Lytechinus pictus: one gene and its partner. The protein of the gene in region 1 purifies or fractionates together with the protein of each later gene. This does not show direct contact. Links are inferred from orthologs where the notes say so. Each region holds a gene or a part of one and is shown in the gene's direction. Other genes may lie near its edges. The genes, in order: E3 ubiquitin-protein ligase UBR5-like and dual specificity tyrosine-phosphorylation-regulated kinase 2-like.

Region 1 (15,835 bases):
TGTACTAGTAGGTCCATGGTTATAGACTCTATTATAGTTGCGTGCATGTCTTCTCCAAGCCGATTCATAGCTTGTCGATGGCTTTAATGCACGTAAAATACAAATATACATGTAACTCTAGGTCCCATTATAGGGCATTTTTAACGGAATCGCCGATGAGATAATTTTGACAAAACAAAATGAATCACACTAATTATGCAGCAGCTATGTTTCTAAACATTACATGATCAAAGAAAAGACACGTGATGATATTTATTAAATTTGTTAATGGCGGCTGGTCTTTATGATAAAAACATAGGTCTATTTTATCTTTAAGACATGAGAAAACAAATAAATCAATTATATAATTAATGTGTGTGTTTTACTTTTTACAAACGTGTATCAATCGAACATGCTGACTACATGAAAAGTGCTGAGGTCCATTACATGATTTATTGGTATTTACACAGAGTTCTCAAATAATGGTACAAGATTTTAGAAAAGAAGTTTTGAGTGTCATCTCGTGTACATCAAATCTTAGCAAATGTTAAAAAGTTTCTGAAATGTCAATACTGTGAAAGTATATGCACTTCATTAAACGTGGACATCCCGGAGATTTCTTCCAAAAGAGCGACCCATTTCAGCGGCACATCCCCGTATACCTTATTTCGTAAGTCCCCCCCCCCCCTTTCCTGGCTCTAATTGTATTCAAAATTTTCTGAACTCTAAGATATTTGACTTGCACGTAATTAATTTCCTCGTAATTTTTCTCTTATGGCTCGACTGTATTGATCTTTTATTTTCACTTTGCCGATACCATAATACGAGTATACGACTCGTGAAACGAAAATGTGTAGATTATCTATTATCTAAAAGTCAGATCCGACTTGAAGAGAAGTGATTATCACATAAAGGGTCGTAATCAGTCATGCATTAAAGTTTTATATCTACCGGTATTAGAAATATGTATTTGTACCCGACTTTGTTACATTTCTCTTAATGCTGGCTTCCAATCGTAAAATTGTGAGTGGAATTGTTTTGCACAAGTCCGGCTGCCTCCGACTGCCTCCGACTGCACAAGCTTTGACCCCCGTTGACTACCTGTAGATCCACGGCCAACCGTCGCGACGCGTCGTCTCGACTCTACTGGGTATTGGAGAAGTACCAGGCCAGGGTCGAGTCACTTATACAAGAGCAAGTTCTGCATTTGTCGGACTTTTGAAGAGCCTCTATTTTGAGGCTCGGGTTGTGGAGTATGGATTTTTCGTTTATTTGGTTCTCTGGTTATTTTATAATTTTTTTCTTTTACGGGCATAACTATTCCCTTCTACTACCACAGTGCGCCCCCACAAAAAAAAACTATACACTTTTGAAATGGCTGCCAAATAAAAAATATATCACTTTGGGGGGAAAGACTTGCATGTTATGGAAGCCATTAAAATCAACTTTCATATGACACCAAAAAGTTGAAATACTATCACGATTGAGCGAACACTGCCTACTGAAACAAATGGTATGATAATTATGCTGGGCTGGAATTAGCCTTCCATTTTTTGTCAGTTTTTGAGGGGCAAATCATTTGGCTTTGGAACTTGCAATGTTAAGGGCGTTGTGATAAATTATTGATCAACCAGTTATGAATGTTTAAGCAAGTTTCATGAATTATTAAATTGAACAAAAATTACACATAAATTACACAAAATTACACATCTTGGGCAACATTTCAACATTATCATGTGGCTCTCAGCAATGTGTTCATTGGAGTCAGGAAAATAGGGGGTGAGATTTGACGTAAGTGGGAGAAGTAGGTTGATGGAAAAGGGGTCAACAGAACATTTTAGCCCCCCTCCCTCTCTCTCGCCCACCCCTTCTGTTGAGTGACTGATTTTTATTGTCATGTACGCGTGAAGTCCAGAGCAGAATGTTAATTTAATTATAATGATAATTGGGGCATCAACTTTTCCTATCAATCAACAATTTATCAATAAATCAACTATTTCAATGGGCAATGTAATCAATCAAACATTCAGTTTTTCAATAAAGTATTTCATAAATTATAATCAAGTCAATTTCTTGGTAATCATTCAATAAAAAGAAGAAAAAAATTACTATCAGCCACTGGTCACTTCAGTGGCAAATAAGTTTTGAATAGGCTACCATCCAGGAAGTGAGAGGGGTCTGGGAAATTGAGGGGGGTGGAGATACATAAGAATTTTATTTGTAAAATGACAAAAAGATGATGAATGCCCTTTCAACCAAGTCTTACCATATCTCGCCCTCTCGCTTGTAACAGGTACCATCACATTACTCTGACTCACAAAACACACTGCTTAGGTCTACAAGATGAATAGGCTACACTAAATTTACAATTCCTGTTCACTCAACCATCATTCTTACAAGATTAAAAAATCATATTTGTTGGGGAAAATCCAGCATAAGTGTTACCTTCCCCTTAAAAATCCCAAACTTAGGATTTTTTTTAAGAAGTCACCATGCAATCAAATTTTGCCTCATTGTGATGTCAACCATACGATAAATAGACATAAGGAGAAAAATTCGTCCATAATTGACATCGTATACCATTATGTTACCTGGTTATTGATCATTCGTTCTCTGTATATGAGGTTCATGGGTCGAATCTCGAACCAACTAAAGAGAGTTGCAGCTCCGTAATTAGCTTGAAGTAGAAGTTCGCCTTGGTGAGAAACACTCATGAAACTGTTCAGTCTAGGACCTACCTTTAATTTTCAAATGAAATTCAATCTCGACAAGCATGCCCCTTCCCCCACTGTCATGCCATCACAATCGCCATAATCATAATCATTGTAATCATCAAAACTAGGATTATTATCATAATTAATCTCAGCACCTTCATCACTGTCATTATCACCGTCATCATCATAAAACATTAATAAATCATCACCGCGGGCGGCGGAGCAGAGGATATATCCTTTGTTCATAGGGTGCATCATTATTGTCCCCCACAGCAAAATATTATCCTCTGATCATCACTATATTGCTACCATAATCATCAATCTTGTCGTAATAAATATTCTCGTGATCAATTACCATCATTATTACCATCACCATTATAACAACATTATAATTATTATTATCACCATTCTTGTCATTGCCATCATCGTTGGGATTACAATCATAATCATCACCATTATTATAATCAGCCATCATTACCTTTCTTTTCGATGTCATCATCACGATCATAATGTCTTTTTTTATTCACACATCATTATGTTTATAGATTAAAAAACAAAAAAATGTTATTATCGTCATCATCATTACCATCGCTTTCATCCTCATCCTCCTTATCCTTCTTCATTATCACCAACATCATTATTACCATCACCATTATATCATCCTCGATCATCATTCCGTTTTCACAAACGCTGACTACTTGTAGTAGTTCCGTCATTGGACAATGTGGTTTGGGAGGATTCATTGGGGTCAAGAAAGCACAATTAGAGATTATCAGAGATCGTTGCGTAACTTCAGTTGAAACGGATTCTTCCTATTGTTAGTTGTTAATTGTAATTTTCACACCTTCTTTGTTCGCAACACGTGCGAGACGGTGTTAGTTAATCGAACCCATTCAAGTCGCTCCAGGGCATTCACTTCAAAGCTTCAAAGGGACTTTAAGAGTTATCTTTCCTAAAACGAAGTAACTCAAGTGCATTGGGGTCTTGAGAATAATTTAAACAAATTCTTGACCACTACGAACTACTCAAAGAACGAATAACAAAGGAGATTAAGAACTGAACATGACTGGGAAATGGGAATGGATGAGGATTTCAACAAGTTGTATGCATAAATACGAATGCTAGTACCCATGAGCATTGGAGGATGCAGGGGGGCACAGTCGGTCCATGCCCCCCATTTGAGAAGCAAAATAAACATTTGTAATGTAAAAATGCAAGTCAATCTTCATCATTTCATAATTTCAAATCAATACTCGTTTCTTCATCATTTTGAGTTATTTTAAGAAATATACAAGTAATTTGCTCAGCCATTTCATGATATTAAGAGAAGTCATAACAAATATTGAATAATGTACATTGCTTTATCCAAGTTTCCATCCTCATGATTTTGCGTTCCTAATGCCTCGGTCATATTTGCTCTACGGCGGCCGTACAGTGAGTTTGAAACACCTGTTTTATCCATTTTTATTCAGACCACGTGTTTGTAGCTATTACAAAAAAAAATGTTAAAACGGTTGTTTTTGACTCGCCGCACGGCCGTCATAGAGCAAAAATGACCGAGGTAAGGTCAGGGAATGTTGCAGGAGTTCACCCCCCCCCTCCACTTAGATAAAAAAAAAATTGCTTGTAATTTTGTTTTTATGAAAAGACCTAATTGGGGGGGGGGGGGAGTGAAAACCTCTGTCAAATTTTCATTGAACTCGAACTCTACCTTTCAAAAATTCTGCGTACGCTACTGCAAAAGCTAGAGCTATTGGAGCTATACGTAGCGTAAAGAGAAGATTGTTTCATAGCGGCAAAGCTCTGCCTCAAGTACCTTGTATTGTGTATGCTTGCGCGCACATGGTATCTAAACTGATATTAAGCGTGCGGGTACACCGCAAGAACGATACTGAGTCGTGACTAAACTTTTCTGAGGACTAATTCGGAGGAATCACGTACCAGTGACAATGCGGCCGTATTTGTCAGCGCTTTTGGAATTATTATAGGCACGGTTGTAGTCACATCTTCAGGAGCGAACAGAGCTCTGCAAGCTGATTCAGTGGGTCCAGCGCCTGTAGACGTTGTGCGCGGTCGCCGCGGTTGATCGAACGCTTTGACGGATCGCATTTTACTTCCGCTGGTAGCCAAAACAAAATTTATTTCCCTTTCCATCTTTGTCAGGAATTTACGGGAATTATATACATATTTTTGGAAGCTCACATCATCAGGTACTAATACCTTGGTCACATTTGCTCTAGGGCGGCCGTACGGCGAGTCGAATGCAGCCGTTTTATTCATTTTTATACAAACCACATTATGTAGCTCGTACATAAAATGTTAAAACGGCTGTTATTGACTCGCCGTACGGCCGCCGTATAGCAAATGTGACGAAGGTGTAAGCATGAATAAGCGATTCGCCGGAGCAAAATTTTTCCGTCCAGGTTCTTGTCCCTTTGAATACTTGTCACGCCTTCCAACCAATTAATTACGGCACACATCGTCATTCATTATACTAGTAGTTGCACCCTCACAACATTTCACGGCAAACAATTGAGGTAAGGAACTTCTCTACACGCGCCAATAAATTCCTCTAGGCTTGCCAGCCCAATGCCCGGGAACAATAGAAGTGCCAGAACGCGACTGCACGGGCTCGTTATGTCACTCCGCGATGATCGCAAGGGTGCTCTATTGATATGCAAATTCAACCTCATTAACTTCGTGGCGTGCAAGCCCGTGCATGAAAAGTAATGAGGGCGTGCAAACGCGTTTGCACACCCCTCCCGGATATTGACGTCCCGCCTTAGATTATTACGAATTTCATTTGATATTGTCACTTATTATGTCAAAAATAAAGTGTGTCAAAATTACTATCAAAATTCGATCGAAATATAGTTTCATCTCGTCCCAGGCCCCAGCCTTTATAGCTACATCTACATGAATTCATTGAATGCATTTCTGATGACACTGCCGTAGAGCGAATTGAGAAAAACTATTCAAAGATCATGTTAATAATGACAAAGCCAATGGAATGGATTGATATAATGTCCAACTCATTTACTTACATCAAAATGATTTATTCACATTTAAATTCCGATTTTACTCCATTATTTCCAAAGTCTTGATCTCTACGTCGATCGTTTGAAACTGTTGATTAATTTCGCGACGGCGTGTCTACCAAGTTCTGTGCCACTGCATTCGCGCTCGCAACGGTCACATTCATAATACAAATCGCACATGGCATCAAAATCCTTGATCCGGGGATCCGATAGTCTTCCAAAATTAGATGGAATCCAAAACTAATTTAATTTCATTTTTTTCATATATTCATTGAATCTGTTATAATTTTCATAATTAATAATCTTTATTAATATTATTCACATTTTTTATCATTACGACTCATTTTTTTAATGTGAGTTATACGTACAGTGTATTTTCATTTGTATTGTTCTTTATTACTCTTTGCCTGCCAATTAAATAATGAGCGCACCTGTCGCGGGCCTGAGAAATGTTTTTAGTCATCACATGAATGCTTTATGAATTTGTTGTACAATTGCTTAACTACGATTTAAAACAACATATCATTTGAAATTAATTTGTGTAAAGGAAAAAAGAGAATGGGGGGTGGCCGTGGGCAATGTAGATGAAAATGATGGGATGTTTGTGACTTTGTGGGGAGGGGATTAAGTACTTATTTCACTGATATTCTCACTTTTATAGAGTCTATCACAAGGTGAGGTGTTCTCTTTATGAGAGGACAAGTACAGAGGTTTCACAACATTATATCATTGATGAATCGTTTGTCATATGATTAGAATGAGCAAAAAGAGATGTTTTGGGGTATATTTGTAGTGTCCAAAAGGGGAGAGTTGTTCATCTGTGACATCATAGATCTTGGTTGCATTGCCAATGGGAGGATCTCCATAGCATCAGTGATCTCGACATTCAAATGCTCATAACTATTCTATTGCTAGTCGTCCTATTTTACTCAAAATTTTGTTGATCTTATTCTTTGATTTTTCTGCTTTCACAAAAGCTAACTTGCTCCAAGAGTTTCATTCTCCTTTAAGTTCGTAGCGAATGAAATTAATATTCATTTATGGATGTGTCTACTGTGATTGTGGCTGCATAATATTTATGGCGATTGGAAAATCCACCTTGGGTCGGGAGAGGTACGTGATTCAATAGATTTCGATAGAAGTACACATTCAACAAAGTGGAATTGGCAATTCATTCACAGATATTCGTTTCAAGTACGAATTATTGAAGTTGATATGTGTGAACGTTTTAGAGGATATCGGATATGTATATCGTTTTTTCACGTCCACAATGAGTTGCTAGTATAATTTGAATATCGTTGGATGAATTTTTCAAGTTCACTTATGTCTTTATTGTTTTATATCGGAATTGTGTTTTTAATATATGAGTTATATCTTGGCAACGTCGTTAGCCTAATTATACTGCGAGTGGATGATATTTATGAAATGAGTTGGAATGTGAACGAGACGCCCCAAAGCCGATGGCACGTGATCTAATTAGTATTCACTTTCTGGGTTGAGCCAATCATTGTGCTTGAAAACGGGTTTCCCCGAATTCCCGCCCTTGGAACGTGTCCCACGTGTGTGACCTGTTAACCTGTTGTTTGAGTGCGAATCAGCTGATTTCGTGACCTCAAAAACTCTTCATGGTGTTGACGCTGGATGGGGGCTATAAAATTAAGAGGATCTTTCTCTTTTATTCATTTTTAATAAACTGTTCGTGATTTTCAAACTACACCTATAGTGATATTGTGATGCAATTTATTGAATCACGTACCTCGATCATCCCACTCATGGTGCAAGAAAATATTTTTTTAATTCACCAAAATATACATGTAAGAAAGATTATTCGGCCGTCATCATCGGTAGAAGTATAGACACGTCTATAAAAATGTATTCGCTTTGAATATTGACTTCTTCACCAATCCCACACACACGATCTCAACATCCCCTTGTTATTGTCCACGTCACGACCCCTCCCCTATCGCTCTCTCCCTTCGACCATCATACAACCCCACCCCTCTTCCTCTCTTTCACACACGCTGTATTTGTAGGCCTACATAATGTATTATGTAAAAATATAAATCTTATTTCCTGTCAATTAACCTATACTTTCAAAACATTTTAAATCGCAGTTAAGAAAAACAAATTCGTAATATTACAGTATAATGAATGACTAAAAATATTTCTCACGCTCGTGATGAGCACATTCATTATTTTATAGGTGAGTAACGAACAATACAAAGGAACACAGCAATAATTGACAGTGATAAAAGAATCTCGATTGGAAATTATTAGTATAAACATCATCAACAGAAGTCTTATGAGAGTTATAGTTTCAGTGAGTATCGAATAAACCAAACAAAAAACCATGCAAATTATATAAGTTGGGGACCCCGTCTCATGAATACCGATGCCCATTATTTGGAAGCCTCGGAAGAAAACTTCCGAGGCTTCCAAATAATACCTCCGTCACATTTGCTCTACGGCGAGTCGAAAACAGCCGTTTTATTCATTTTTATTCAAACCACGGTAACCACCTATATTCAGCTGGTACAAAAAATGTTTTCGACTCGCCGTACGGCCGCCGTAGAACAAATGTGACCGAGGTATAAAGTCGGAACAATCTTTGGATTTAGTAAGGGCGTGACGCAGCGCAAGCTCAAAGGGCTACGCATGCGGTCCGTAGATGCAAGCTCAAAGGGCTACGCATGCGGTCCGTAGATGCAGTCGGTCATTGACATAAGAAACAACACGCATTCACAAAATTAATCGCACTTTCTAAGGATGTAGCGATATCGATCTGAACATTGGAAAGTATGGAGTTAATTTATCGATGTAAATAGTCTATAAACTGTAAGTATAAAATGAGATTGACTTCAATTTTTAAGTTATCAGTAATTGCCTTTCTGCTTCAATCGCAATTCGCGCAACCGTTACGGCTGTGTGGTCGGAGAAGCATTAAATAGACTTAAAATGTGGTGCATTTAGCAGCAATCTAAGCTCGTCGATATTGATATTTTCGACAGCTACCGCGCTTTGCGCGGGAGGGGGGACACCCCCCTCCCGAACCCTCCCCCCCGTGCGTGCTTCGCACGCACCGAGGGCGCTGCGCGGCTTGCGTCGCTTCGCGCCGCCAAGCGTCAGAGTGAACCTGGCGAGAACGTTGTGTGTATTGCATTTCGTACTTGTGCTGACATCCCGCCCATAGGGTGGGAATTAGTGGGAATGTATGTGCAGTATTTGTAGTGCTTTTGCACCGAATTTGTCATTGGGAAACCCCCTCACTAGGCCATACCCATCATAATATAGCAAGTTCGATACTGAGGTGTGGCTTCTCAGGACTGATTCAGAGGATTCGCGTACAAGTTAACTATTATGACAATATGGGCGTATTTGTTAGTGCTTTTGGAATGGTTATTGGGCGTGGCTGTGATCACATACAATGTATAATGAGCAAACTGAGCTCACCCGACTCAGTGCGTCCAGCACAGCGCCTATAGAGACGTACGTGCACATCAGCCCAACACATCTGAATTGTGCGCGGTCGCCGCGGCTTAGTCGTCATTGTGTGTCATGAAAGAGATACGATCTTTGGAATTCGTTAATTTTAGCATAATTTTCATTTGATATCTTGCACTTTGTTTTCAAAAATCTAAGTTTACAGTCATGTACTTTTGATAATCGAATGTTTCAAATCAGTAATCATCATCTGGCGAACATTCGATTAGTGTAAAAAGTAACATTCGAGTGCCGATTGTTGGCAAACTGATCGAATGCTTCGATGGATCGAATTTTACTCCCAGGCCTATTACCCATTAACTATTTGTTAAATAATATTTTCATGATGTACATGTAATTCAATTTTTTGATATTGTCAAACAAAATTTTATTCCTATTTAAACATTAATTGGCTTTTGTAGCCTATCAGTGATCTGGTGAAGAGTCTCTCTTATTGTAAAATCTTAAAAAAGGGAATGAAAATATATTTAATTTGATGGAATACAAAAATAATGATTGAATGACATCTCGGACTCTTGCTTATAAATCACTGTTATATAACTGTTTTGTGGAAATAGGGAGTTTATAAAAAATGTATTTTTATTCACATCTGATTTTGATGAAATGTATGTTAAGGGCTATTCCACGGTTACCCACGTTACATTTGGAGACACCTTGACTCATACTTGGAGCTGTAACTCCATTATTATTGACAGGAACTAAACATCTCTTTATCACAACAAAGTACACAGTCTGACTATCCTTCGTACAAAAACAAAACGTGGGAAATTTTATTATGCTCCTGTCAAATCTTTGAAATGTGTCGGTTACTCATGTTACATTATTTGGACATGCATAAAATGAAAAGTCGACGTAAGTGAAAAGTGTCCTCATACAAGGCTTTTATGAAAGTTGATTATATCCATTTCAAAGAAGTATATTAGGGAGACAAACTTTGTATATAATTCAAAAATAAAGAGCACATGGTTTTTACTAGGGGTGCAGATAAAGTGGTTACTCACATTACGGTTACGTTACATTTTGTCCATGTATGGTCAACAACATAAATGTCACTAAAAATTCAATAATGTGTGTAAGATTCATGTTTCTGTTTCTGTAATAATATGAGTAGGATTTCAGACACCAGTTTGTGTTTAAAGGTAACATTCTGAATAAGTTTCCTCCTCTCTTTTTATACTTATTGGTCAGTATATTGGTAATGTATTCACTAAACTGTACGAGATCTGGCTTGGGCTGTGTAAATCAAAAAATGTAAAACAAATGCATTCCATTTCTTGCCTCAAGACCTCAACATCAATTAAAGAACCAGCAATAAGTATAAGTAAGGCAAACACAATTAAAATGTACAGTTCAGATGGGCAGTATATCGAATTTGAATTTTTAAGCTAATGTCCACCAACCTATGGAATTGCCCTTAAGCTTGTTGGATTTGTTCTCTCTTTGTTAAAATAAGCTTGTTATTTCCAACTTGGGTAAACTTCTTTTAAGTGTAAAAGTCTTTTTTTTTCATTTGGAAAAATACTAAGATATTTGACATGATTGCAAACTGTAACAAAATACATTTATACATAGCTCTAAATAAAAAATACACTGTATATGAAAAACTAATAGCCAAAACATTATGCCTGACTTATTGGAGACAATTAAAGAAAAGAGGGGATATAAGTGATTGCATTTTTAATGCTCTTTGTTTCTTATTTCTTTAAATTTAACAGATTGAGAGAGTTATCTGAGAAACTGTACAGGCAACCAGCACCATGGTAAGTGTCTGTGTGATCCCCTTTTCAGGGCTAAAATTAATCCAAGGCCAACAAGGATATTGCCTTTTGGATGCCCTTTTGATTGGCGTCGAAGCCCTTCTCATTGACATTGGCCTTAGATATTTTTGGTGCCCTTTTTTTCTCGGCTGCATAGCAGAGTGACGGAAAAAAAATTACATGTGGGCTGGGGCGATTTCGCCTCGGAAATGCTCACAAGAGCCCTGGAAATCCCCATTCCTTGCAATGTTAAAGCTTATCCAATGTTTGCAGATTTAGGCAGTAAGTTGTGAAAAGTAGCCTAAAAAACAACAACAAATTTTTGCCTGAGAATGAGACATGCATCGCTTTTCCAACATAATATTTCATTAGAGGAAAAAACAAAACAGTAAAATTGTCTCTGAGTTATGAATTTCAGACATAGGCCTACATAACATTTAGATTTTTAGCAAAATTTGTTGAAATTTGATAAAGTTCTGTAGACATTAATATTAATAATGAGTTTGATGCAGTGGTACTGATTAAAAAAAAGAAGCACAGAGAATAAATGGTATTCACATTGTGCACAGCTGTGTGGGGAATTGGTTGTTTGGATGCTTCTAGTGCTTCATAGAAATTGATGATATGTGATCATTTATTGTTTTTCCTTATAAGGCCACCAGAAAAAATTAATGGAATATCAAATCTCTCAAAGACCTTTTGACGAGAGTATGACAATAAAAAAAAAAAAAATTAGTTTCATGCCAATTTTCCCTTATCTATCAATCTGACAACTATTGAAAAGTTGGGCTCTACTGTTAGTACCATTTTATTATATTGGAGATGTCAAATAGCTGCCTGCCATGACTCAGTGTGATGAACAGTGATAAATGTGATCCATCCCATCTTTCATTTTTACAGTGCTTCAGGAGTTTTACCCCTGAAAAACCTTCCAGTGAAAAGCATAACTGTTGGACCAAATCATGCAGCTTTTCTTCTTGAGGTAAGACTGCGGTTTCATACAGCATTAAGGATTTGTCATTCTCTGTCAGTTACCATTATCACCTGCCAGACATTCATATTTCTCTGCCAATCAAAACCAAAGGCTTCACAGAAAGGATCAGATTTGATAACTTAGGGCTTGCTAGCTTGAATTGATTAATGATGATGATGATGATTGATGATGATGATGATAATGCTGCTGCTTCTAATGATTGTTTTACAAATGGTGATGATGATGTTATCAATGATGGTGATGTGTGGTGTAGGTGATAGTAAATTTGGCTATGAGGATGTTGGTGAGGGTATTGATGATAGTGATGATGCTGGTGGTGGTGGTAGTGATGATGATGATGAAGGTGATGATGGTATTGATGATGATATGGGAAAGGTTCATCGTGGTGAAGGATTGAGTAGAAGAAATAACCAGTTGTCTCATGATGTGTCAAACGTAGTCGGAAAGCGATTGTATGGATGATGATAGTAATAATATTGTTGATGATGATATTGATGATGAGGATATTGATGATAGTGATGATGATGGTGTACAAATAGCTGATAGTGATTTTGGCTGTGATGTTGGTGATAGTAGTGGCAGGGGTGATGATAAGGATGATGGCGTTATTGATGATGATGATGATGATTATATGTATTGGTCATGATACGTATTAACCTACAACTCTATAATTCCTTCACATAGGATGGTCGTGTATGTCGTATGGGATTCTCAATCAACCCTGAGAAAGTCGACAGTGGTCCAACTAAGAATGAAAGCTCCAAAAGGTAAGATCCCTTTCAGTATGATTGATTTCTATTCATATCAATGAGATATGTTTCCACTCAATTAATTGGGCAAATTATTCAATTGAATCGCATGTACCGGTAACCATAAATGTGATTAAGTTGTTTCTTTTACTGTTACAACAAATAATATCAATTGTTCAGTTGTATAATGTTTTTTTTTTAACCGTGTGCACACAGACAGTTTTACATACATGATGCTATTTTTAGTGTTGGGTAGGTGGGCTTTGATCAGGGAAAGCATATTATGCATGCATTTGTAAAATTCTTATTGATAGTTATGCATGCAAATTATATTACAGGGTGTATGAAAAGATGCCCCATGTAAGATATACTACTCATTTTGATTTTTTTTTTATAGCAGCAAGAAGAGCTGGGCCTCCTCTGCTCAGTTATCTTCCGCTCGTTCTTCATCATCATCATCATCGTCGAGGCCTACTAATCCTCTTAACCCTTGGCTCATCAATGCCGATGAACCTTCTGGAGTTTCGTCTAGGTGAGAAATTAAAATATTATTTTATATATTTTACGCATGGATAGAAAACCAATTCATGTAGAACTAAAAATTTACTTTAGGTAGACACTTTCAAGATATCTGTGACTGAAAAATCATCATTTAATTTCACTGCTTGAAGATCTTGATTGCACATGTAGCTCATGTAATATAAGGAATAGAATTGGGAGGTTGTTTCTGGTCACTTTATTTATTCACTTTGTGAAGCACTGAATGATGCTTTTCAGATGCAATTTTTCAGGGCTTGATATTTACAATACATCACAGACGCAGGTAATAAATGGGACCTTCCAGCGAAGATTTTTAAAAGTCAAATCAACGTTTACCAATACCTTTTGAGATGTATCCCTCTTGAACACTTGTTGAACATAATCTATGTCAAATTATATCTTTATTTTTTATAGTAAATGGTCCTCTAATTGCCGTACCCCATCCAATCGCACAACATCAAACAACAACTCCAGTGCTTCCCGTAATCGAGGGCGTGTCATCCGTGCTCACTCTCGAGGTCGTGGTGGGGTGATAGTGGGTACCAGGCCAGTTGTCCCAGCATCTGTTGTCCCTGAAGAACTGGTGTCCCAGGCACAGGTAGTCCTACAGGGCAAGAGCAGGTCGGTCATCATCAGGGAGCTCCAAAGGACTGTAAGTACTGTAGGACAAATTCTAATGCAACACAGAAAATGTGCTATACCCGTTAAAATTTCCAGAAGATAATTATCTTTCCTGGTCGATAGTACACATGAATTCCACTCTTTGTTGTGAATATTCTGTTCATTTTTTTTCTCTCCTACATGTTATTACATAGAGGAGCATTGCTGAAATTTGATTTTGAATTGATTACAGTATTTATAGAAATGTACAAATAATCCATCATTGTTGCATCTAATTTCAGTTACTTGGTTTAAAATATCTGATAAAATTTGACTAATTCCAGTTGCTTTACCTTAAATGTAGTCACTGTGGGGCGTTTTTTTTATGGTAAGTTTATTTGACAGTTTTATCCTGCAGCAGCCCTTGCATTGATATCATATTATTAAGCACTTTAGGAAACCTTGTTTTAATATCTTCATGTTAATGATGCATACATTTATATGTTCATCTATGATACAATTCATGCATTGTTCCCCCAATGTCTTTGAATAGAACCTGGATGTCAACCTGGCAGTCAACAACCTGTTGAGCCGTGATGATGAAGATGGTGAAGATCCTGAGGAGAATGACACCTATCTGTCTGGTGGTGATGACCTTGTCTCACTCTTGGATGGTGGTATCCACTCGGATCATCCAAGCGTCATCATTGATGCTGACGCCATGTTCTCGGAGGAGTTCTTGGGCCTACCGCCATCGAGGTCCAGAGCTAGAGGCTCCAGCAGTAGAGGTAACTTAATTGTTCTTATGTGGTAATTTTGCCGGGATCCGTGTTGTAAATATTTATTTTCTTATAGGTCCTAGGTCTTCCTCCATCAGAACAAGAGACTATGGCAGTAAAGGTACAAGAAAAAGATCAGTGTGTTCAGCACTTAACAACTGCAGGGAAAGACATTTCATAAAATATCTTCTGTCTTGTGTAAATTTTCACTGGTAAATTGTTGCAATGCAAGTTTGCTAATAAGGATCATTTATTCAAATCCAATGGTATATTGTCTCACCTGCATAGCAGAGTGAGACTATAGGCGCCGCTTTTCCGACGGCGACGGCGGCGGCGGCGTCAACACCAAATCTTAACCTGAGGTTAAGTTTTTGAAATGACAGCATAACTTAGAAAGTATATGGACCTAGTTCATGAAACTTGGCCATAAGGTTAATCAAGTATTACTGAACATCCTGCCTGAGTTTCATGTCACATGACCAAGGTCAAAGGTCATTTAGGGTCAATGAACTTAGACCATGTTGGGGGGAATCAACATCAAAATCTTAACCTAAGGTTAAGTTTTTGAAATGTCATCATAACTTAGAAAATATATGGACCTAGTTCATGAAACTTATACATAAGGTTAATCAAGTATCACTAAACATCCTGCATGAGTTTCACGTCACATGACCAAGGTCAAAGGTCATTTAGGGTCAACGAACTTTGGCCGAATTGGGGGTATCTGTTGAATTACCATCATAACTTTGAAAGTTTATGGATCTGATTCAGAAAACTTGGACATAATAGTAATCAAGTATTACTGAACACCCTGTGCAAGTTTCAGGTCACATGATCAAGGTCAAAGGTCATTTAGGGTCAATGAACTTTGGCCAAATTGGGGTATTTGTTGAATTACAGCCATAAATTTGAAAGTGTGTTGGTCTAGTTCATAAAACTTGGACATAAGAGTAATCAAGTATCACTGAACATCCTGTGCGAGTTTCAGGTCACATGATCAAGGTCAAAGGTCATGTAAGGTCAAAGAACTTTGGCCACGTTGGGGGTATTTGTTGAATTGCCATCATATCTCTATAAGTGTATTGGTCTAGTTCATAAAACGTGGAAATAAGAGTAACCAAGTATCACTGAACATCTTGTGCGAGTTATAGTAGTTTTCAAAATCAGCACTGCTGCTATATTGA
Region 2 (15,840 bases), on another chromosome or scaffold:
ATCGTTGAATTACCATCATAACTGGGTTGGATTCCCTTTTAAGGAATCGAATGGGACTGTTAAAGGCTGAAATCTTTGTGAGATTAAAGACATATTTTATTGTTCTTGTTTGATTTTGGCATCATTGGAGGGTTTATGAAAATGGTACAAATGTATTCACATTCTTTATTATACCGGTATAGCAAATATCCCTTATATTTATTAAAAAAAAACTTGATTTGAAATGTCAGGATTAAATGAAATTTATTGTAAATGATGTAGATCTACTTTATGTCAAAGATATATGACATAATCTAAAACTTTTTAAAAGAATAAAATTGTTAACATTTGAAAAGTAGCGACATTGAAGAGAAATTTTACCTATGAAAGTGATCCTACTTTATATGATTGAATAAAATTCAAAGTAACGCTATATTTTGTTACCACTTACGTGCACCATTTTGAATTCGAAATCTGAAATATGGAACATGCTTTAAACATCGTCTCGTTGTAGGCCTATATAATTACGAGAGAGATAATTTCTAGTATGGGCGGATGAATTAGGGAGAAAAGAGAGGAGAGATGAAGGGTATAGATATTGAAGAAAAAAGAGAAATAAATAGGGAGAGACGAGAGGAGAGCTAAATGATGACAGTTAAGAAAAATAAAAAGGAATGAGACGAGAGAGAGAGGAGAAGAACAGAAAAGTGAAAGTAAACATAATTACAAGAAAACATTGCGAACTTTACAACTGTTTGTTGCCTGTCGCTCAACTCAAGCTTATTTCTCGAAACCTAAATTCCTAAATTTTCCAAAACTGGCATACTATCATGAAATGAGAGGATACTGATCGACTGATCAAAATCGGATGTAAAATAAGAAAGTTATGACATTTTAAAGTTTTGCATAATTTCACAAAACAGTTATATGCACACCCTGGTAGTTGTACAAATGAGGAGACTGATGACGTCATCCACCACTATTTCTTATGTATTTTAATATCTGAAATATGGATTTTCTAATTTTCTCCTCATTGTAATGTGAAACAATTTATTCCTCTCTAAACATGTTGAATTAGCATTGTTTAAACCTATGTGGTTCAGTCAAGTTCGTCCGGGGGTGACAGTCAATATTGCTGTACACATGCGTGACCCCCCCCCCCCCAAAAAAAAAAAAAAACTTGTTTAAAGCGGTGTTTTTTTTTTCAGTTTTGGACGCGGGGTCAAACGTAACAGTTGAGGGTATGTTTTTTTTTTCGATAGCTTTTTTTTTAAAGACTAACCAAACGTATTGAGGGTGTTTTTTCCCCAAGCTTTTTCTCCGTGGCTTTTCCTTGTTTCTAAAAAAGTGTTCGGGCCTGAGACAAAACTTGTTTAGGGGTCATATTCTGGCGACAACTTGTTTAGGGGCCAATATGTGAAGCCCACAAAAAACTTGTTTTGGGGGTTATTTTTCACACAGAGAAAACTCGTTTAGGGGTTTTTTGGAAATAATTTGGTCACGCATGGGTCACGCATATGTGTACAGCAATACATTGACCCCCCCCCCCCGGAGTTGGTCCTAATTGTCAAATCTGTAAAAAATGAAATATTGTATAATTAAAAAAAAAAGAAGTAATAGTGAGTGATGGACATCATCGACCGTCTAATTTGCATGCTACTGAGATGTGCATATTGTATCACTGTTTTATGAAAATAAGCAAAACTTTAAAATGTCATAACTTTCTTATTTTACAACCGATTTTGATGAAGTTTTGATGAAGATTTTCTCTTTTTATTCAAATCAACTTTTTGTTGGGGGTGGACTTGTCCTTTAAACATTTGACAATAAGGACAAAAAAAATATTCCACATGTTCAGACCGCATACATTCGTAATTCCGAAGGATAGAATATTCCGAAGGTTCGTTAGTCCAAAAACGAAATAAGGTTCGTATTTCCGAAGGTTCGTTAGTCCGAAAACAAAACAGGGTTTGTAATTCCGAAGGTTCATATGTCCGAAAACAAAATAAGGTTTGTATTTCCAAAGGTTCGTTAATCCAAAAACGAAATGAGGTTCGTAATTCCGAAAGTTCGTTAGTCCGAAAACGAAATGAGGTTCGTTAATCCGAAGGCTCGTTAGTCCGAAAACAAAAAGAGGTTCATTTATCCGAAAGTTCGTTAGTCTGAAACGAAGTAAGGTTCGTTAATCCGAAAATAAAATAAGGTTCGTTTGAAGTAATTATTCTATTCATGTATTCCATGAAGTTTTCATAATATTCCTTAATCAGGTCTGATCGTAAAAACTTATCAGCTGGCGCTGCGTGCTTGCATTTTCATTAGTATTTACTTCTATATGAATTCTATAACAATTTACTTAAAATCCCTATGACAGTTTATCCAAAATTTCAGTTCGCACTTCGCACTTGACTAACAAGTCACTGTTTGCTACCCCTTCAAAGAAAAAAAGGTATGAATAGCCGTTTGGTGAAATGTGAATGAAATCCCCCCCCCCCCCTTATTGGCAAAAGCTCGATCCACATCTGTATAATTAAATGTGTATTATATCCATACACATGTAAATTTAATGTGAAATGTGTGCCCCTTCCCCTCATTTCGAAAAGCTGGTTATGATGGCTGCGGATTGCATTTTTGCCCCACCTCAGCCAAAAGGGGGGGGGGGGGTTGAGGTTTTTAATCACCCCTATTCTGGTCCAAACAATCACCCCCCCCCCGCGCAAAGCAATTTTTTTTAAAGGTTTATAAGTGGTAAACATTTAATCAAAAATTTATCTTTTAGTGGACATTTTGAATTTCAAAATGCATCAACACGCCCTAAGCGATATATGATTTGATAACTTTTATGATAATTATTATTTTTTTCCTACTATATAATCTTTTTTTTTCCCGTCACACCTAGCGGATTACAATATCAGTTACACCATATGTGTATTTATATTTTTTCATATACATTTCTTTTTTGGATATATTTATATACATATCACTTATAGATACATATTTACACTTACCTTCTTCTCTTAGTTTGTTTAATGCTTTATCATATATACTTATATGTCTTTTGCACATTATCAGTTGTTCCCCATTCTTTTCTTTTTTTCCCCCACTCTTATGCACCAGTTTATTATGCCTTTCTTTGTAACCTGTTTGACCCACCTCTCACTAATTCTCTTGTTATTCATCCCATTATCACTGTTTTGTTCCAGATCCTGTTTGATGTTGCCTGCCTCATTATCTTAATCCCTCTTGGCTTGAGGTCTTTTACTGGCCTTACTTACACTAACTTCCCTTTGTGTCTGCCTACTCCTTTTCTTTCATCCCCTTCACTAACCTGATTGGTCTTCTCTACTCACTAATGCCCCTTTTGTCTCCTTGTTTCTAGTGTTGCTGTAGCTTGTTTGTGGTCTATATTATGGTTGTTCCACTTTATATGTTTGTCATTTTGCCTCCGACGAAGATTCTGCTAGGATCGAAAGCTTAGGCCCCTTTTTGACTTTCTGATAATAATTATGCTTTAATGTTTTTTTTTAATAGTAGTTTTCTCGTTGAATGCATTTATATTGTATTTGTTTGATGTTCAGTAGTCTTTTTTTGTGTATGTTGTAATTATTATAAACATGTTCAGTTTGGTCCTTGTACCTTTGTATCATGTTACATTTATCTATGTTTAAATGAATGAGGGAAAAATTTGAACTAGCCTCATAAGCCTATAATGATCCCTTTGAGAGAATTCTGCGTACGTAAACGCCCCTGGTAACGACAGATCAGCCCCTTCCCACAGGTGCGGTGAAAGCGCGGGGGGGGGGGGTGGGCAGGTGTCATCACTTGCACCCCCCTAAAAAAAAATCCCTGTAGGAACGAAATACTATTTTTTTCAAAATGGGAATTTCCCTTGTTTTTTTCAAAATGAAATGTGCCGTTTTCGAAATGAAAATAGCCTTTTTAAAGTAACATTTAGATGAGAAAATCCCAATTTTTTTTGTTATTTATTTTTAATAAGGTAAAAGTAAGAAGGCTTCGCTCTACTTTACTCTACTTAAATTGCTCCACCGCCCTTTTGACTCTCCATCCTCATAACAATTGAACAGCAGCGGTGTTTCTCTCCCCCCCCCCCCCCACCTCCTTCCGCCAGGGGCGGATCCAGCTTTCGCCAATAGGGGGGGGGGGGGAATTGTACCCATATTTTGCCCGATCGGCCGCTCAAAGTTGATTTTTATTGAAGGGTTATTCCTATAACAGTCACTTTGGTTTGACTTTAGAAAAATCTGAGCTAGAAGGTCACACTTGTCACCATGTGTCTGTGATATATTACAAAAATGAAGCCCAGAAAAAATTGCGTTCGAAAATAATTATTTAGTGCTTCAAAAATTGAAATATAAAGTGACCGAAAACACCATCTTAATTTCATCCCATACACTAATATGTGTACTATTTAGGCGTCTATAAGACGCCTATTTACTAGGTATCAGGACAACTACCCCCTGGACAATCACCCCCGGACAACTACCCCCCGGACAATTACCCCCCGAGGACAATTACCCCCCGGACAACTACCCCCGGACAACTACCCCCCGGACAACTACCCCTCGGACAATTACCCCCGGACAACTACCCCCCGGACAATTACCCCCCGGACAACTACCCCCGGACAACTACCCCCTGACAATTACCCCCCGGACAACTACCCCCCGGACAACTACCCCCCGGACAATTACTCCCTAGACAAAGGGAGTGCACAGGTCGGCCGTACGTTTGACGTAAGAAGTACTCAAAGGCATTCTCGAGTATCTTGGAATCAAACGTACGCCGTAAGAAAGCTGTAAAATTGAGCTCCATCCAAAGGCGGATCCAGGGGGGGGGCCGAGAGGCCCGGCCCCCCCCCCCCCCCTATCAGCAGAGCAAAAAAATGAAGAAAAAAAAAGGGGGAAAGAAAGAAAAAAAGAAAAAGAAGGGGAAAGAAAGAAAAAAAGAAAAAGAAGGGGAAAGAAAGGAGGAAAAATAGGTAAAATAAGAGGAGGGAGACGAGTGAAAAAAAAAAGGTCAGGGGATGACTTGGAAAATGATTAAAAAATATTCATGTCACTATATTTTTGTCGCTCGCGCTCGCATAGCCTGTTCGATGAGATACACATCTTGCTAAATAGGCTGATATGTAGCTTAAAATGTCAAGTTTTGAAGTCGATATTACAAAGCATATTTCATTATTTTGTTTGATTTACAAACTGATTTTTAAGTGCTCTGTTTAATGTCTGTTTTATGGTGTGAATATAACTTGCAGCTTGCGCTATGCGCTCGCATTATTTGATTTGCCAAATTATATAACAAACAACTTAAAACCCCCCTTTTATGACAGTTTACCAAAAATTTCGTCTCACGATTTGCGCTCGCATTTTAAAAAAAATATATCAACTCACAAATCCTATTCATGATTACAAAAGTGCTTAAAATATCCAGTTTTCAGGCCTCAGTGTCAACACATTTTACTCACTCATTTAGGCTTATTACATTAATAAATATGATAATAAAATTTTCATGAATTCTTAATGACTAAATTATCCCTTTTCAGAAAAGAATATCGACAATATCACAGTTTCATATGTTTCATATCGCGCTCAGGAAGAGGAATAACAAAGTTGTCATCATTTTCATATGATGACAAAATGTCCTTAGACCTAGAATGTCCAGGTCCTAGGTTAAAAAATAATAATGAAGATATCAGCTCGCGCTTCACACTCGCATCATTTATTAAGTGCTTTCCATATCCACTTCACAATTTCCCTACACAATGCTTTAGATAGTGCTCAAATTCACCATTTTCATACCGGAATATCAAGTATTTTCCGCTCGCGCTTTGCGCGCGCAATGCTTTTTCGATGAGATTAATATCTTGCTCAATATAGGCTGATATGGAGCTTAAAATATCAAGTTTCGAAGTCAATATACAAAACATATTTCATCTCGGATATCGAGCTTTCATTATTTTTAAATTTACAAATTGATTTTTCAAGTGCTCTGTAAAATGTCCATTTTATGGTCTAAATATTAATATTTTCAGCTCACGGTGCTCGGTCGCATTACTTGATTTGCATAGGCCTACTTCTTTATAAATTCTTCCAAACTGTCCTTAAAATGCACCTTAAACGAATTGTATACTATCATGATTGCCAATTTGTATAGAAAAAACACTGTAATTGATTATGTCATATTGTTTACAATTTAGTAAATTTGGTACTTAATTTCCTTCTTTAATGTTTAATTGCTTTCACCCAAGAATAAAACACACAAAAACACCTTGTAATTTACAAGGTGTTCTTGTGTGTATTATCTTTGCATAAAGTTTTTTAGCTTACTGTATTAAGTTATAAAGCCACATCTTAATCTGGAATGTGCACCAATTGTTTCATAATTCTTAGCTTCTTGTTAGTTGAACTGTTTTAAAATAACAGATTTATAGGAGTGTTAGTGTTGATAGTTGCGTTAACGACTTTCAATATTTCTACCTATTTCTACCTCTTTTTTACGTTTTATCTATTTGCCTGATTTCTTACCTGAAATCAAACCCAAAATAAATATTTAAAAAAATCAGATCAGTTGGAATCAGAGATATTCAGCATTTGTGATTATTATGACTAATCGTGTTCAATTGTTCTATGAAAACTTAGAATGAGGGCCAGTTTACAAATTTTCTGATGTATATATGCATAGCCAAACGGGAGGTTTCGGGTGCAAGCCCCCCCCCCCCATTTTTCATGATGTAGAAGGCGCCGCTAAACAAAAACAAAAAAGGAAAAAAGTAGAAAGTGAGAGAACAGGAGAAAGAGCAATATAAAAGAGAAAGAAAAAGTTATGAACGTAAGGTAAAGTAGAAAATATTTCGGAAACCTGTGCCACCGACCAAAACTTACAATGGGTCCCGCTTAATTCTAACATTTGATGCTGGAGAGAAGGGGGGATTTTCTGAAGGTAATTGTCCTCGGGGGGGGGGGGGTAGTTGTCCTCGGGGGGTAATTGTCCGGGGGTAATTGTCCTCAGGGTGTAATTGTCCGGGGGTAGTTGTCCGGGGGGTAATTGTCCTCGGGGGGTTATTGTCCGGGGGGTGATTGTCCAGGGGGTAGTTGTCCTAGAACCACAAAATCGGGGTTTGCCTTGTAGTTTTAGCTTTTCATTCTCAATAATGGTTGTTTTCAGGGTTTATTAGTTCTAATACATGCACTTGTAAACACATTTTTCATCTTCGTTTGAGAATTTTTTAAATCGGCTGCTCACAAAGTTAAACAATACCTTTAACCTCACAAAACATAAATAAATATCAATCTCATACTCATATAAGCCCGAATTGAATAGTACGAGCGTGAAGCGCGAGCTAATTTTTAAGAAAATGTTATGTATTTTGTCCTGAAAATTGAACATTCTGAGCAATGATTGCGATCAACAAGATGTTTATGTAAAAATCACTGCGAGCGCGAATCGCAATCAGAAATTCAAAACATACGTTCTGGCCTGATGGGAAAACAGACATTAAGGACTGTTTGCAGTTACCCATGAAAACGATTAAACTTCATCAATCAAATAATGCGAGCGCGAAGCGCGAGCTGAAAATTTTTGACATTTTGACCTAAAAATTTGACATTCTAAGCACTTTTTTGTCATCATAAACAGGATAGATATATAACTATATAACTTCATGCGAGAAAAAGAGATTTGACCTAAAAATGGGACACACTTTTCATGGTTCGTAAATCACGAAAAGGATGACTAAAATTTGGCATCTTCCTATATTAATAATGCGAAGCGCGAGAAGAAAATTTTGACATTCTGATATGAAACTGGATAATTCAAGCACGTTTTGAATTAAGAACAAACTGCGTATCTATTGTGTGAGTCTGTTTTTAAGATTTAGACCCCCAAAAAATAGAATCTGTGAATTCTAAATACATTTACTATGAATTATCAATAGGCCTAATGCGCGAGCGCGATCAGCTGAAATATTCCACTCTGAAAAAGGGACGTACAACTTCATTATTAGGAATTCATGAAACTGTTACCTTATTTATCAATCTGATATTAATGAGAGCTCGAAATCTGTTGATATTAAGGCCTGAAAACCGGACATTTTAAGTATTTTTTTAAATATTGTATTACGGCCTACTTGTGCGCTTATGGTAATCCTCCTATGCAGAGCTATTAAATCGGCCGTTGATGGAGTGCAGGGGAATGTCAGTTGCGGTATAGCGTGGTTTTGCTTACATGACTGTTGAACCATGCAACAGAATGCGGTGCCACTGCGAGTAATGAGTATAGGTCTACGGTGGGGATCGGGCCGGCAGTTACGAGGCCGTAAATTAAACATGTGTATAATACCTCCTTCGTACTTTTCTTTCTGTTTTTCAGCGTTTCTCTCAAGTTAAAAAGGACTTTTTTTTATTGCCAAAAAATAGGGGGTCGGCTAGCGCTCCCCCCCCCCTTGGAACCGCGCCTGGCCACTCTTATCTTCCCGGGTTTCCCGGCTTCGATCGCCACCGATTATTTCCTCTTTCGGATTAACGAACCTTCCTAGGGATACCTGGGGAAGTTTCTGAATGTAGGCATGTTATGCCTCTGTATTCAGTTCTATAGGTTTTTCCTCCTTCGGAATAAAGAACCTTATTTCCTTTTCGGATTAACGTACGAACCTTCGGAACAACGAACCCTTTTTCGTTTTCGGATTAACGAACATCGAGGTATAGGCAATTTACGTGTTTCGGAATTACGAACCTTCGGAATAACGAATCTTCGGAATTACGAAATGTAACTGCATATGTTCTCAGACAGCCTGGAGTATATTGATGCGGGGGGGGGGGGGCGTGGGGCCATATCCCACTCAAGAAGTGTGTGGGTGACGTCATTCGGGACGTCATCATCTCCCTCATGTTTACAGGCCAATTATACGACCAAGATGTGCACTTCACTAGCTCTTATGTTAAAACTTTTAAATGTCACAACTTTCGATTTTGATCAAATCAACTTTATCAAAATCAACTTTTGTTGGGGGGGGGGGGGGGGGCTTGGCCCTTTAAAGCTAGCCGCAATCGTAAAGCCCCCTAAACCACCCTCAACTATACATTTATATCGAGCATTTCTCTGGTTAATAAGTACCTAACTCTACTCCACTTTAATTCATGTTCTTGTCTTCCGGAATTCTTGATGCCTGAAAGGGGCAGGACTCTGGGCTGAAAATAAGTATATCTAAATAACTTATCTAGAGTAAATTAACCGAGAGAAGAAACAAATAACGTGTGTGTTTTCAAGGGAATAAATTCATAGTTACAAGGTAACCATTCGCTTCACCTGGGTTGAGTGCAGCACAATGTGGGTAAATTTCTTGCTGAAGGAAAACACGTACACTTTGGCTTATTATCGAACCCACGTCCCTCAGAAGACAAAAGTCTAAACCACTAGACCACAGAAAATGTTGATTTTTTTATATTAAAATCAGATGTCAAGTATGACAAAGTTATTGAACTTTAAAGATTATAAATATTTTGTGAAAACAGGTACACACGAATACTAGTAGTTATTAGGTGGGCTGATGATTTCATGTCCCCACTTTCCCTTTACATGTTCAAACAATATGATTTTCAGCCTGGAGTAGCCTACTTATTGGTTGACCTACTTTCTTTTGAATTTATTACATCATATGCGATGAAAGAATTAGTCAATCCCGAATATGTAAAATATTAAAGAATCTATATTATATATCTTTAAAAAGATCAATTCAAATAATATTGGCATGAGTGAATGAATGGATTTATTCAAAACCAAACATAAGGGACGCACCATTAAATACCCAGGGGGGGGGGGCTTGAAGTTTGGGTTGATGCAATTTTTCCCCTTTCTTTTTTTCCTTAGTCCATTGAGACAAGTCCCCCCCCCCCCATTCAGATGATTTGTCAGTGAACCAATTTTTTTTTTTTTTTTTTTACTCTGATGGCGAGTCAATTTTTTTGGGAAAAAACTTCCAGCCCCCTGGATATCTAATGGTGCGTCCCTAAGCCTACATCACATAAGTTTAAATGCTGAATAGCAATAATTGCTTTAGGACCAAAAGGGAAACTAGGATTGTAACTTAATTAGAGAGGCCCTATCCAAAATAGGCCTATAGGGCTTGCTCATGTCTCTAAAATGCTGTAAACAAAAATATTGCACAAACTCATGCAGCCAGGCCCAATTAGGCACTACTACTGCGGATATATGAAGCTCCTTGATGAAGCGTAATTTTCCCTGACCCCAACCGTTCTCCCCGAAATCTGACAATATGATTTTGTGTTTTAATTTTTATCAAAATTTTCTATTGAAGTAAACTCGATTTTTTGTTCCAAACCTTGTACAGTCGAGATAGTCTAGAGATATACAAAAGGATTTCATATTGTGGAAGCATCGATTTTGTCTCCATCAACAAAAGAGAAGCAAAAATCTTCTTCACTTTATTATGCAAATAAGCTCGAACAGACTCTTTGATTGGCGCTTTGTGATCATGTGTTCTATAGTTGGCAAGAAACGTCACGCTAATGGTGACGTTGTAAACAAGCTAGCACTCAGTGTATCTCTATAGCAACAAAGGGCACATTCCATGGTGTCGCTTTCCCGGTCATTATGCAGCCATATTGAATACAGCACCGAAGGAAAATTATTGCTCCAGAAAACGTGTTAAAAATGGATTTTAAGCTCGGAATGTAACGCTGACTTCTACTTTCTCTAAAGAGGAACGATATGGTTGACTCGATGGTTGATACAATTTCAAGAAAGTCTAATTTACAGGCGTCGAGGACCCGGTCCTTGACGCAGGGAGACACAGCTACCACGGCTCTCTACCCGCACCACGGACATGGCTCGCACGTCGAGCTCCCCCCGATCAAGAGCCACACACTCGGGGCTGTCAAGAAAACCAACGAAAATGTCCCAGCCGGTTTGCAGGTTACACAGCTCTTTGAAACGGACGATAATCATAACTATAAAAGGCAAGTGCAAAATAAAGTGATAGCGAATGGTCATTTATCACATGATGCAAATGCTCTGCCTGATGTCAAACGTCCTGCAAGCGATGGATCGAAAAATGGATCTGCTAAAGGAAGAGCGCTACCAATGACACCAGAAGAAAGCATGAAATTGTACATGCACAAACTCACTTCATATGAACATCATGAAATATTTAACTACCCACATATTTATTTTGTTGGACCGAATGCAAAGAAACGGCAAGGAGTAATTGGTGGAGCGAACAATTGTGGATATGACGATGATCAAGGTTCATACATCCATGTGCAACATGATCATGTCGCGTATCGTTATGAAGTGTTGAAAATACTTGGAAAAGGTAGCTTTGGACAAGTTGTGAAAGTTTATGATCATAAGACAAATCAGCATGTTGCTGTGAAAATGGTGCGCAATGAAAAACGTTTCCATCGTCAAGCCCAGGAAGAAATTAGAATCTTGGAACACCTACGTAAACAAGACAAAGACAATAATATGAATCTCATTCACATGTTTGAGAGCTTCTCATTCCGTAATCACATATGCATCACATTTGAACTTCTAAGCATGAACTTGTATGAACTCATCAAGAAAAACAAGTTCCAGGGTTTCAGTCTACAACTTGTCCGGAAGTTTGCTCACTCTCTTCTTCAGTGCCTTGAAGGACTTCACCGGAATAAGATTATTCATTGTGATCTTAAGCCAGAGAACATTCTGCTAAAACAACAGGGAAGGAGTGGAATCAAAGTGATTGATTTTGGTTCCAGCTGCTATGAGCATCAACGAATCTACACATACATCCAGAGCCGCTTCTATAGAGCGCCAGAGGTTATCTTAGGAGGGAAATATGGCATGCCCATTGACATGTGGAGCTTAGGCTGCATCTTGGCCGAGCTTCTTACAGGTTACCCGCTGCTACCTGGTGAAGATGAGGGTGATCAGTTGGCCTGCATGATTGAACTCATGGGCATGCCCTCACAGAATCTCATTGACACATCAAAGAGATCCAAGAACTTCATCAACTCCAAAGGTCAGCCACGTTATTGTACTGTTACTACACTTCCTGATGGAACTACAGTGCTTAACGGTGGCCGATCTCGTAGAGGGAAGGTGCGTGGTCCACCAGGGAGCAAGGATCTTGTGAAGGCACTGAAAGGATGTGATGATCCGCTCTTTCTTGATTTCCTGAAACGATGTCTCGAGTGGGATCCATCAAGTCGTATGACTCCAAGTCAAGCCCTCCGTCACTCTTGGCTTCGTCGCCGTCTACCAAAGCCACCTGCAGATAGTCATACAAACACCACCTCGGCCAAAAATAAACGTCATGGCTCTTCTGCAGTGTCTAAGCTTCCTCCCACTGGTGCAGCTGGTAAAGACAGGCAAGATGTATCGCAACGGACTGTTCTACCAAAAATAGTAACATAGTGTCACACATATCCTGCCTGATTTTGAAAAGAGGTTGGATTGGTCCTCTTTCTGAAATGAAGAAATGGGATTCCTTGCTTTGGAAGGATAAAGCAAGTAACAATCTAGCCATAATTTGCTGTGTGTGTCACCTCAGTGCCACAAGTGGTTTACAGTGTCTAGATAAAAGTTATATGCATCTGATCCTTGCAGATATTTTGTTGAATTTGATGCCTTACATGTACATGTATCTCGAGCTTTGGTGACTGCAGGTGCAGCTGAGCAACATTTCCAGCATAGATTACATGTAGGTTCAAATGATTTATTGTTGCTAATTGAATTGGTGCCAAAACCAGTGTATTTGTTTACTTGCTGTTGGTGTGGAGGGTGGAGATATTTAATGAACATTTGACTGACGCATTTAAATCAAACTGTTTTACCTCATACAAAGAGAAATAAAAGAAAAGGAAAAATAAGTTGTTATGCAGGTATAGAACTTTACAATACAGTATGTTTGTATGTTAAAGTGGGTATACACATACATTCCATGTATTCCTTGTTGATTTTGCTTTATGTGCAAAATAAAATAAACATGAAGCTGCATAGCTGCAGAAACTTCACAATAGATTTAAGCATTCAAAGAGTATCCGTCCATGTTGTTAGTTGAACTGTATTAAGATGTTGCACATGTAAGTCACTGACAAAGCAGTGATATACATTTTAATTTACCGGTAATTGAACATATCTTGAATGTGCTCTTCTGTATTGGGTCTCTTGGGTGCTTTGCAGTGGAAATTTGGAAAAGCTTTGCCCTAGAAATTTAATTCCATTTTCAACATGCGCTTTCCTACATTTTTGTGAATGTTTATATGCATTGAAAAAAAAAACAATGCATGGTTTGCTCTATTTTTCTTTGATTGATCAGTTTTGATGGATGTGTCAAATGTTGATCATAGTTTTATAGAAGTGATCTGCTTATTTCTGATGCTAGTAAAGATGTTAAAAAAAAGACATGTAATCAACAGTGCTTGTTGCCAAGATTTGTCAGTATCAAGTTCATCATTGCATTGAATATCTGGGGCCATGTTGCACATATGATAAAGTTGCCATCCTTTGGTAATTTCCCAGAATCCTTTACTCTTGATTGGTTGCTTAGCATTGGAACCATGATAGTTACTATTTGATGGCAAACTACAGGTTCCAGGCTCAGCAAATATCTACATGTATCTATGTATAAATTTAGTTTCTTTTATTCATCATTACCCGTGAGTGGACAAAAGGAATGTTTGGAGATTATCCATTTATAGTAATGTATTTGTTTCCCTTTTATATAGAGTTGCTGACTTGCTGGTTCATTGTTATTTTCTTCATTTGTTATCTGATTCACCTTACCAATTGATTCAAATGACTATTGAAGCTTTGGCACATTTTGTTTGATGATGGATTGTGATGTATGACAAGCATGTTCTGTAGTCATTGATTTGAAAAAATTTGCACTTCCTCAAATTTGCTGTATTACACTACAGACTACAAACACTTGTGAGTGTGCCCCATACCTCTAGAACAACGTGTTTTCTCATCTGCCAAGAAGAGAAACAGTGCACTGTTAATGAATGCCTGTATGCAGTGCCAGGTATTAATTATGAAGGAAATAGCATGTGCTCTGTGTGGTGTACAGGCAAGTATAGTTTGTGAGGCTTAGTTAGAAGGTGTTTTGAGAGTGTGCCAAACTACATCTGATCTTGGCTTTCTTTCATATTGCAAGCCAGAAGACCGAGCACATTGTAATGCATGTACAAGTACATGTATAAGTACATGTACTTGTATGATAGCATTACATGTACATTAGGTAGTGAGCCATTCTTTTAAGAATAAAGAGACAATTTGTTTTGATATGTCATTCACAAATTCTTCTTTTATTACGCATTCATTTACTCATATTCATATCAAAGGTTCAACTTTTCCAAGTAAAATCATTTCAGACCGAATTGAACGTTTCAATATAAGAAGTTAAATTATTATTAAACATTGAAAACCACAATCCACATGCATTTAGTGATTGTCCTTTTGTATAAAGTTGACTTGTATCTGAATGTTAATTGTTTACTTCTTATTCAGTCCAATGTGGTTTGTTTTGAGTGAATTAGTTGTTCACCTTCTTGAGAAATTGCTACCTTTTATGTGTTCAAAATGTTAATTGGTGTATAATTAATGAGTCCCAATTTCAGACTTTTACTCGCATTAGTACTAAAGTACATGTGCATGTATATATACATATTGTACCCTCATTGAAATTAAGCTTTCATAGTACTGTGAGTAAACTGGCAAACATGCAGCCCTTTGTATAACCATAGAGCTATACTATGACTGTAGATTACATCATCCACTGTAGCCCTACTTGGGATTTCATTTTCCATTTCCTATGATTGTGTGTAGTCCATTGTAAAGCTGCTCAGTAGCATGTCACTGTGAGCCATATGAAGCCTACATGGTTGGTCCTTGTACACACAGAGTTATGAGTAATCAACATTGATCAGGTTGATATGTAGAGTAGGTGATAGTGATACTGATGACAGTGCCAGACAGGAATGCATTGACCTTTGGGATATTCTACACTATCCACCTGTCTTATTCTAGATCTTTAGGATAAGCTCTGAACACCAACTGATGGTTAACTTTCTATTCAACCAGGTGTTGCATCCTAATTAGCATCATCTGTTATTGATCTCTGTACAAGAAAACACACAGGTGTAGTTCACACAGTCATATACATAGGGATAGGAACAGAGTTCAGAAGCATGTTGTGTATCTATTTAATTTTTGCACTTCATCATGGGTGTGATATGAATTATATTGACATCTGGTTGCTGCAATTGATTTATTTGATATTAATTTGTTCAGGTTCTAATGTTAATGTGTGAATCTGTTATGAATGTTGTCACCTTGATGTACCGTACTCATTTTGGAATACTTACATATTTAAAAACTTGAACACTGCTTCTTTTTAGCTTTGCAAACTTTAGGAAAAGGTATATCAATAAATGTTTTGCCAAAAAAGGGTGAAAAAATATCAGTTGTTTTATGTCAAGTTGTAGGTGTTGAATTATCATTCAACACTTATCATAATGTTGAAAACTGTACCCTTATTGTGCAAGTCTTGTAAGGGTTTGTAAATTTCAAGTAAGAGACGGTTGCTTTTATTTAAAAAGTGATCTTTTCCTGTACATTGTCCTTTTCATGTACATGTTACCCCCCCCCCCCCCTTTTTTTGTGGTAGAATGAATTTCCTAATCTTGTTGGCCTTTGTTATTTTATCAAACATCACTTGACTGGGTTGGTTTTCTTATTACATTACCTGCAATGGTATTTGTATTTTATTGAAACCCAGATATCTATGAACAATTCTTATATTTATGACAACACATACAAAGCTGCAGGACAGCTTTTATTCAC

The links.
Region 2: the proteins of E3 ubiquitin-protein ligase UBR5-like (region 1) and dual specificity tyrosine-phosphorylation-regulated kinase 2-like purify together in Homo sapiens (affinity purification with western blotting; 3 studies listed by BioGRID and IntAct, with this or other methods). This does not show direct contact. The link is inferred for Lytechinus pictus from reciprocal best matches to the Homo sapiens genes UBR5 and DYRK2.

Annotation. Positions count from the first base shown.
Region 1 is NC_087245.1:27,706,916-27,722,750, forward strand, and holds the start of E3 ubiquitin-protein ligase UBR5-like, read left to right. Parts: upstream 1-9,155; coding exon 9,156-9,217; intron 9,218-10,947; coding exon 10,948-10,992; intron 10,993-11,889; coding exon 11,890-11,971; intron 11,972-12,667; coding exon 12,668-12,750; intron 12,751-13,129; coding exon 13,130-13,264; intron 13,265-13,686; coding exon 13,687-13,924; intron 13,925-14,425; coding exon 14,426-14,660; intron 14,661-15,835. UniProt on the Homo sapiens protein: E3 ubiquitin-protein ligase involved in different protein quality control pathways in the cytoplasm and nucleus. Mainly acts as a ubiquitin chain elongator that extends pre-ubiquitinated substrates.
Region 2 is NC_087247.1:78,634,330-78,650,169, reverse strand, and holds the start of dual specificity tyrosine-phosphorylation-regulated kinase 2-like, read left to right. Parts: upstream 1-9,864; 5' UTR 9,865-10,722; coding exon 10,723-12,408; 3' UTR 12,409-15,840. UniProt on the Homo sapiens protein: Serine/threonine-protein kinase involved in the regulation of the mitotic cell cycle, cell proliferation, apoptosis, organization of the cytoskeleton and neurite outgrowth. Functions in part via its role in ubiquitin-dependent proteasomal protein degradation.